Linked DNA regions of Macaca fascicularis. The protein of the gene in region 1 interacts with the protein of each later gene in a biochemical or structural test. Links are inferred from orthologs where the notes say so. Each region holds a gene or a part of one and is shown in the gene's direction. Other genes may lie near its edges.

Region 1 (4,155 bases):
GCCTGGTCATCACACCCCCGGGGCCAGAGCTTATCCTCAATGTCTCCAGCACCTTTGTTCTGACCTGCTCGGGTTCAGCTCCCGTGGTGTGGGAGCGGATGTCCCAGGAGCTCCCACAGGAAATGGCCAAGGTCCAGGACAATACCTTCTCCAGTGTGCTGACACTGACCAACCTCACTGGGCTAGACACGGGAGAATACTTTTGCACCTACAATGACTCCCGTGGACTGGAGCCTGATGAGCGGAAACGGCTCTATATCTTTGTGCCAGGTAAGGGTCCCCAGGCTGTGTGCCCACTCCTTACCCCTTTTTCAACTGGAGGCACCAGGGGAAGTCCAGAGAGTGCTTTAGTTTGTTGTGAAATGCCGCCATCCTAGAAAAGCAGACAATCATGGAACCAGCCTGGCTCAGTCCGGCAGTGTATTCGCCCCCACTCCTTGGTCTGGATGATCTGCCTGCTCCCTGACAGTCACCCCATTCCTGCCTCCCAAGAACTCTATATTCTCAGCTGCTTCCAATCTGCTCCCTCTTGACCCCACATCCCGTCTTCCCCATTCTCCAAGCTCCAGATATCAGCTGCATTTCAACTTGTGACTTGCCTTCTTTCTTACCCTGGCGCTGTCAATATCAAACATTAGAGCTGGAAGGGACCAGCTCTAACATTTGATTTATGCTCCTCTGGGAGTATCCCTATTCTGTAACGGGGCGACAGAGGGCCAGAGACAGCAAATGACTTGCCACACAGCAATTCAAGGGATGGCCAGAAACCCGGTTTCCCTGACTCATTCATGGCTCCACTCCTGGCAGATCCCACCGTGGGCTTCCTCCCTAATGACGCCGAGGAACTATTCATCTTTCTTACGGAAATAACTGAGATCACCATTCCATGCCGAGTAACAGACCCACAACTGGTGGTGACACTGCACGAGAAGAAAGGGGACATTGCACTGCCTGTCCCCTACGATCACCAGCGTGGCTTTTCTGGTATCTTTGAGGACAGAAGCTACATCTGCAAAACCACCATTGGGGACAGGGAGGTGGATTCTGACGCCTACTATGTCTACAGACTCCAGGGTGAGCCCCCTTTCTGGCCTGATGCTCAGCCCAGGCAAGTATAACCCTCCACAGAGCAATAGCCCTTTACAGTTTACAAAGTGTGAGACTCCACTTCCCAGTGGATTCTCACCACAGCCTTGGAAGGGAGATAGTGTTTTCCCCATGTTACAGATGAGGAAACTCACGCGCAGAGAGAGGATGGAGTTTGTCCTCTGTCGCAGAATTCGATAGCGGCAGAGCTGGCCTGTGTAACATGGTTGGTGAGGGCACGAGCTTCTGAGCCAGCTGGGTCGAAATCCCAGCTTTGCTATTTCCCGTCTGAGTAAGTTTACACAAAGCACGTAATCTCTCTGAGCCTGCTTCCCCTCTTGTAACGTGGGTATAATAATGACTGCCTACCTCATAGGATCATTGTGAAGATTAAATACAATAAAAGATGGAGAGTACCTGGCACATGGTATGTGCTCAATACATTTCTCCTGTACGTAGATCTCCAGAGTGTACTTTGATTTCCAGTCTGTTATCCCTTCTAGAATGTCAGCTCCATAAGAACAGAGATTTTGTCCATTTTGTTCACTACTGTTGCCCCAGTGTCCAGAATAGTACTTGGCATGTAGTAGGTATTCAGTAAATATTTGTTGAATGAATGAATCTTCTACATCAGTCATCCTTTCCCTCTCTAGCCCCTACCCTATCCCCAAGCTGAAGTGGTGGCTGGTGGTGACTTCCCCAGCCCTAAGCCAATCTCTTTCCACCAGTGTCATCCATCAACGTCTCCGTGAATGCAGTGCAGACGGTGGTCCGCCAGGGTGAGAACATTACCCTCATGTGCATTGTGATCGGGAATGAGGTGGTCAACTTCGAGTGGATGTACCCCCGCAAAGAAGTAATGTGGGGCCAGGCAGGGGTTGGAGGGGGGGCCAGGCAGGGGTGAATATCTGAACTGCAAACTGATTTCCCCCGGCCCCTCCTGATTTGGGGGGCCTGCCCAACCTGTCGCTGCAGAGTGGGCGGCTGGTGGAGCCGGTGACCGACTTCCTCTTGGATATGCCTTACCACATCCGCTCCATCCTGCACATCCCCAGTGCCGAGTTAGAAGACTCGGGGACCTACACCTGCAATGTGACAGAGAGTGTGAATGACCATCAGGATGAAAAGGCCATCAACATCACTGTGGTTGGTGCGTGCCTTGGGCTCAGCCCAACCCCCAGTCTGAGCTGGACCCACCGCCTGTCACAGCCCCGGGATATAGTCAGCCACACTCCAGTGCAGCCCTAGCTAGCCTCTGTGCCAACCAAAACCCCAATACCAAGACAAACCCAAACCAAAGTGCAGTGTCAACCCCAAATCCAACCCTATCTCAACCTAGACTTTCTGACTAGCCAGAGCCCCAGCCCCAACCTGACTTCCAAGCCCAACTGCCATCCCAGGTCCAGGAAGCCCCATCCCCAAATTCAACCTTACCACTAGTTCAACTTTATCACTAGTCCCAGAATCAGCCACATTACTGACCCAGAACAGAGAACTGTTAGTACAACTCTGGTCCCTACCTGGGAGCCAGCCCCGACATCCACATCAGCCCCAAATTCGGCCCCTTCTCCAGGCCCCGTCCCCAGCCCAATTTCAACCTCAGCTCGGGGAACTTCATGGCCAGCAGGGTCCGCAGGCCTGAAGCCCCGCCTCACAGGCTGGCCTCCTTTGGGATTCAGTTGGTGCCCTGCCCCAAGGGCCCGCCCCTGATGGTCACCCCTTGCAGAGAGTGGCTACGTGCGGCTCCTGGGAGAGGTGGGAGCACTACAATTTGCTGAGCTGCACCGGAGCCGGACACTGCAGGTAGTGTTCGAGGCCTACCCTCCGCCCACCGTCCTGTGGTTCAAAGACAACCGCACCTTGGGCGACTCCAGCGCAGGCGAGATCGCCCTGTCCACGCGCAACGTGTCAGAGACCAGGTGAGCAGCTCGCTCTCCCACCCCATTCTTGAAGTTATTTTTCTTTGCAGCCACCAGGCAGCCCTTGGCTTTCAGCCACAAACCTAGGCCCAACTTTCTGAGAGCATGTTAGGTGCCAGGTGCTGGGGATGCTGCAGCGACCAGAGCTGCCAGTTCATCCCTCCTAGAGCTCCTAGTCTAGTGGAGGAAACAGACGCCGGTCAGATGATCACCCAGATGTTTAGTTGTGCTTATGATGGGTGGGGCCAGCAGTAGCAGCTAAGAAGTAAACGGGCAGATGACTGGGGAAGAGGGTGCCAGGCAGACCATTCATGGCCTGTGGTATCCCTGAGGCTAGAGATTGCCTGGCCGATAGACTGTGACAGGTTAGGATGGAGCAGTGTCCACCTGTCTGAAGGGGAGAGAAATAGGACTTTCCCTTCAATGCTCCCCACCCCCACCCACAGTCCATCTCAACCCTCCCTCTTGGCTTAGGGGAACTGCCTATGGGTGAGGATTTATGAGACCGGGTTTGAGTCCCGGCTCTGCTACCAATGCCTAGATGACCTTGGCAAGCTCTTCCGCTCCCTGGTCCTTGTTCCTGTTTATACCAGGAGGGTGGGGAGAACTGTAAGAGGCCTTCTGACTGACAGCTGCCTTTCCTGCTCCCCAGGTATGTGTCAGAGCTGACACTCGTTCGGGTGAAGGTGGCAGAGGCTGGCCACTACACCATGCGGGCCTTCCATGAGGACGCTGAGGTCCAGCTCTCCTTCCAGCTACAGATCAATGGTGATGAGCACGCCCCTCCCCATGTCCCTTCTGCTTCCCCTCCCTGCTCCCATTCCCTCTCCCTTCCTGCACTGTCCACCCACTCTTAGGAGGGTGGGAGAGGGACCCTGGAACTCAGGAGATGAATTCTAAGCCACTGACCCACTGCCGTGTGAACCTGGCCTCTGGGCCTCAGTTTCCCCAGCTGTATAAGGAGGCCACTGGGCTAGATGGGTGTTTCCAAAACTTCAGGCGCTTAGGTACCAAGGCCATGATGTTTCCTTCTTACATTCCACTTATACTGTACTATTAACTCAGTAGGTATTTACTGAGCAACTACCATATGCCTGTCTGTTCAAGGTTCTTGAACTTCCCTCCCTGCCTTTGTGCAGCTTGCATCCGA
Region 2 (4,255 bases), on another chromosome or scaffold:
TCGGCCAAGTTTCTTTATCCTTAGTGCTTCTCTGGGTGTGTCGTCTGGTGGGAGCCACGTAGACCCTGTACGTGAATGTGTGTTTCCATCTTGTAGATGGTAACCTGAGACCCAAGGGGTGTCTGGAGGTAGCGTTGGCCACCTGGTGGTCTGCACACAGAATCCAGCCTAGACTCATTATCCTGGCCTTTGAAGTCTCTCCCTGTATGAATCCCCCAGCCTCCCATTCCTGTTTCTCCCAAGGCCAAGCTTGAAGCATCTGCTGCCTCTTTTCTGCCAAGTTGGCCCCACCTCCTGAGACACTTCTCCCCTCTACTGGCCTGGTGAAACTCAACCCATCCTTCAAAGCCCAGCTCAGGTGTCACCTCTCTCCTGGTTGGAATTAACCTCTTCCTCCTTAGCACTCTCTGGTTTGGCCCTTTCTCTCGCGGCTTCTCCTGGGCAAGTGGCTTAGCCTCCCTGATCCTAGCGTCTTCCTCTGTGCATGGGCACAGGAGTAATATCTGCTGTGATTTTTAACTCCTGTCAGTTCATGGACCTCTTTAACAACGTGATGAAAGCTTCCAGAAGAGCTAACATATGTGGAGTCCCACGATGTGTCAGGCCAGGTATTTAGGACTTTACTAACCACTGTCCCGTCTAATCGTGAGTGCAGTGGACCTCTCTCTACACAGGTCCTAGTACGATCTTTATTTCACACGGGAGGAGAGGTGGGTGTGGGAGCGGCCAGAGAGGAGAAATGCGTCTCCAGAGTTCACAGAGCTGGTACTGCCAGCAGAGCCCGGTCCACCATATGCCACCGCTGGGGTTCTAATCCCTGGACTGGCCTCTACTGGGCTCTCTGCCTCCCTGGCCGGCGCTCGGGGTCTGGGGGACAGAACACAATGTACAGCGTGCCTCCTACAATTTCTGGGTTCACGCACCCCCAAGCCCACCCAGGGACAGGTCAAGCGCGCCTTCGCCGGGATGCTGTATACAATAAGGCTTGGCTGCGCTCTCAGCAGGGGTCTCGGTCAACCTCTGCCTACCCGAACCCGGCGCCGTGGACCGGGTGAGAGAAGGGGAGCCCGTCTTGAGGGGTGCCGGCTCGAGGCGCTAGAGCCACGGAGCCTGGTCCTGGGCTCGAAGTCCCAGGAATGTGGGAGGGCTGGGCGGAGGGGCGGGCGAGGCGGGGGCGCTTCCTCTGCCCGCGGGAGGAGAGCAGCGGCCGGCTCGGAGGGGGCGGGGGCAGCGGCGGGCGGCGGCGAGGGGCTGCGGAGCTCGGCAGCCGCCGGGCCGGCCGGGGCGGGAGGAAGCGATGAATATTCAGAGGGGGAGGGGAAGGGAGGGGGCCGAGCGCTCGCCGCGGCTCCCTGCAGCCCCAGCCGCATGACGCGCGGAGGAGGCAGCGGGAGCAGCCGCGGGAGCCGGGACCGGGGAGCCGCGCACTGGGGGTGGGCGCCGCTCGCTCCGCCCCGCGAAGCCCCTGCGCGCTCAGGGACGCGGCCCCCCCGCGGCAGCCGCGCCAGGCTCCGGCGTGTGGCCGCGGCCGCCGCCGCCGCTGCCATGTCCCCGGGGAAGCCCGGGGCGGGCGGAGCGGGGACGAGGCGGACCGGCTGGCGGAGGAGGAGGCGGAGGAGGCGGCAGGAGGCGGCGACGACGGTGCCCGGGCTCGGGCGCACGGCGGGGCCCGATTCGCGCGTCCCGGGCACGTTCCAGGGCGCGCGGGGCATGAAGCCGGCGGCGCGGGAGGCGCGGCTGCCTCCGCGCTCACCCGGGCTGCGCTGGGCGCTGCCGCTGCTGCTGCTGCTGCTGCTCCTGGGCCAGGTAAGCGCCGGGTGGGCTCGGGCGGGGGCCAGGAGGCTGGGGCGGGACTGGCATTGCCTGCACCTGCCTGGGAGTACCCCGCCTGGGGGGTTCCATGGAAGGGGGCGAGGGTCCGGATCCTCGGATCCCCCCTCTTGAAGGCGGCTTGCGGGGACCCCGGCCGGCCTCGCACGCCGGCGACCGAGCCCTTTTCCGGCTGCCCAGGATCAGGGGGAGGGAGGCGGGATCCGGGTTCCGCGGTGCCCGAGCCTCCCGGGGAAAGCCTCCGCGCGGGTTCCAGGCGGTCCCCGGCCCGGCTCTTCCCGGCGCTGGGCACATCTGGCCGGCACGGGCCCGGCTTGCCAGCCCGAGGCGGCCGGAGGGGGCGTGTTTGCGGAGGTCTGGGGACGCAGTGCCGGGCGGCCTGGCCGAGCCTTTGCCGACCGACCTCCGACCCGGCCTGCAGGGGCCCGAGGGGCGGCGGGGGCGCCAGGGCAGGGCCAGGAGCTGGGCAGTGGGGCCCTGGGCGAGGCACGGGACTCGGGGCCGAGGGCGCTGTTTCTGGGGAAAGTTCCCAGGCCGGGGAAAAGGTGGCCGAACGCTGGCTTTTCTCAAGGTAGCCGGCCCTTTTGGCGTCGTGCTTGATTTCATGGGTGTTTAATTCGTGCTTTGTGGGCGCCGGCTCCCCGTCCCCACCCCACCCCCGCCCTCTTGTCTTGCTTCACTTTTCGGATAATGCTGTCCCTGGCGTTTTGGTGACCGACCTTTCCCCTTCCTGGCATTTCCATAGGGGGTGAGGCAGGGCAGCTGAGGGGCATTCCCATTTCACAGATGGGGAACTGAGGAAGAGAAGTGAAAGAGCGGAGCACCCAGCCCGTGCCATGGGAGCTGAGCCAGCGGGCGCGTTCTCTCAGCCTCTGGAGCCTATCGGGGTTTGAACTCGCAGGGGAAGTGGCCTGGGGCTGCCCTGCTGTGCGTTTCTGCAAATGACCGTCTTGCTTGGTTTATACAGACACCATCTCTGAGGAAATGAGTTATTGACTGGGGATGGAACCTGGTTTCAGGGAAAACTTCTCCAGCTTGAATACAGGAGAGAGCAGAAGCATCTCCCTGGGGCAGAAATGCCGCCCAGCAGGCAGTAGGAGAAAGGGGCTTGGGCCTAGGGGCTGCGTGACCCTCGGCATCCAGGGGTCTCTCCTCGCAGTTTCCTCAGCAGGTTCTGCACAGGCTTTCCTGGGGGCCGGAAGGCAATGTGACCTCCTGCAGAGAACCTTGGAGTAGATGTCAGGAGACTGGCTCCAGGTCCAGGCCGCAGGGCTGGACTTCCTCTTCAGGCTCCTCTACCCTCAGTTAACAGCATCTGTAGAATGGGTGTAGCACCCCCTTCCCGATGGAATTGTTTGAGGGGCTTCCGCTGGCCAATGTCTAAAAGAGCTTTGTAAATATTAAGGGTTTCCAGATGGGATTCTCATTATTAAGGTACAGTGTGTGGGGGGGCTGTCTTCTCCCTGACCATGCAAGGAAATTCAGGGAAGCAGTGTCTGAAATTAAAAAAGCCTTGCATTTGAAGATTTCTTGTATCAAAGTTTATGCTAAAACAAACAAAAACCCCAAAAAACAAAAAACAGAAAACCTCCCAACTTAAAGCTTCATTTGTTTTTAAATATATATGTAATTTATTTTTTCGCTTCAGCAAAAAAAATTTTAAATTATAAATATAATTTTTTGTTTTGCTCCAGCCATACTGGTTGCTAGCTGTGCTTTCAATCAGCAAAAAGTTTCTTGGGTAAATTTATTGCTTGCTCAATCCTTCCTTGTATTTCATTAGCATATTGCCACTCTACACTTGTCCTGTATTTAAATATTTCCTTCCTCTATGGTTTGTTCTGTAGAACCTCAAAAGGACTCTCTTCTTTTTTTTTTTTTTTGGATACATTATGAAATAGGAAATCTAAAAGGCTCTCAGAAGAAGCATCTTCAAAATCCACATTCAGCAGTTCATTTTGATAATGGATATTTCAGGGAATCAGTGCCTTTTTGAGCTGGACCAGACTTTCAAGATAGCTGAAACCCCTCAGAGCTCTTAGATGAGGATATTGAGGTCCAGAGAAGACAGGGAGCAGGCAAAAGTCACCCAGCAAAGCATTAGAGAAGACAAGTTGGGAACCTGGGTCACCTGCCTGGGCCTTGTATTTTCAAAGTGCTGTTTTTTTTTTTCGTGTTTTCACTTTGATCTTACTTTTAATGATAGCGACATATCACTGTGTCTTCTCAAAACGGTGAGTGTGAATGGAATTTTTCAAAGTCGAATCAAATTTGAGATACTTCTGAAGTTTGTTTAGGAAACAAGAGTATGTGACTACCTTCCTAAAAGCCGACTGGTTTTCTGAGGCCTGGATTGTGTGTGTATGTGCTTGTGTGTGTGTTATAAAATGGAATCAACTCTACCAGGTTAAACAAATGGACAAGT

The links. The genes of interacting proteins can lie anywhere in the genome.
Region 2: of the proteins of PDGFRB (region 1) and PTPRJ, one has a biochemical effect on the other in vitro, tested with the Homo sapiens proteins (2 studies listed by IntAct). The link is inferred for Macaca fascicularis from reciprocal best matches to the Homo sapiens genes PDGFRB and PTPRJ.

Annotation. Positions count from the first base shown.
Region 1 is NC_088380.1:157,016,495-157,020,649, reverse strand, and holds part of PDGFRB (platelet-derived growth factor receptor beta), read left to right. Parts: coding exon 1-270; intron 271-807; coding exon 808-1,074; intron 1,075-1,814; coding exon 1,815-1,942; intron 1,943-2,061; coding exon 2,062-2,236; intron 2,237-2,812; coding exon 2,813-3,005; intron 3,006-3,657; coding exon 3,658-3,773; intron 3,774-4,155. UniProt on the Homo sapiens protein: Tyrosine-protein kinase that acts as a cell-surface receptor for homodimeric PDGFB and PDGFD and for heterodimers formed by PDGFA and PDGFB, and plays an essential role in the regulation of embryonic development, cell proliferation, survival, differentiation, chemotaxis and migration.
Region 2 is NC_088388.1:17,853,447-17,857,701, reverse strand, and holds the start of PTPRJ (receptor-type tyrosine-protein phosphatase eta), read left to right. Parts: upstream 1-1,362; 5' UTR 1,363-1,368; coding exon 1,369-1,806; intron 1,807-4,255. UniProt on the Homo sapiens protein: Tyrosine phosphatase which dephosphorylates or contributes to the dephosphorylation of CTNND1, FLT3, PDGFRB, MET, KDR, LYN, SRC, MAPK1, MAPK3, EGFR, TJP1, OCLN, PIK3R1 and PIK3R2. Plays a role in cell adhesion, migration, proliferation and differentiation.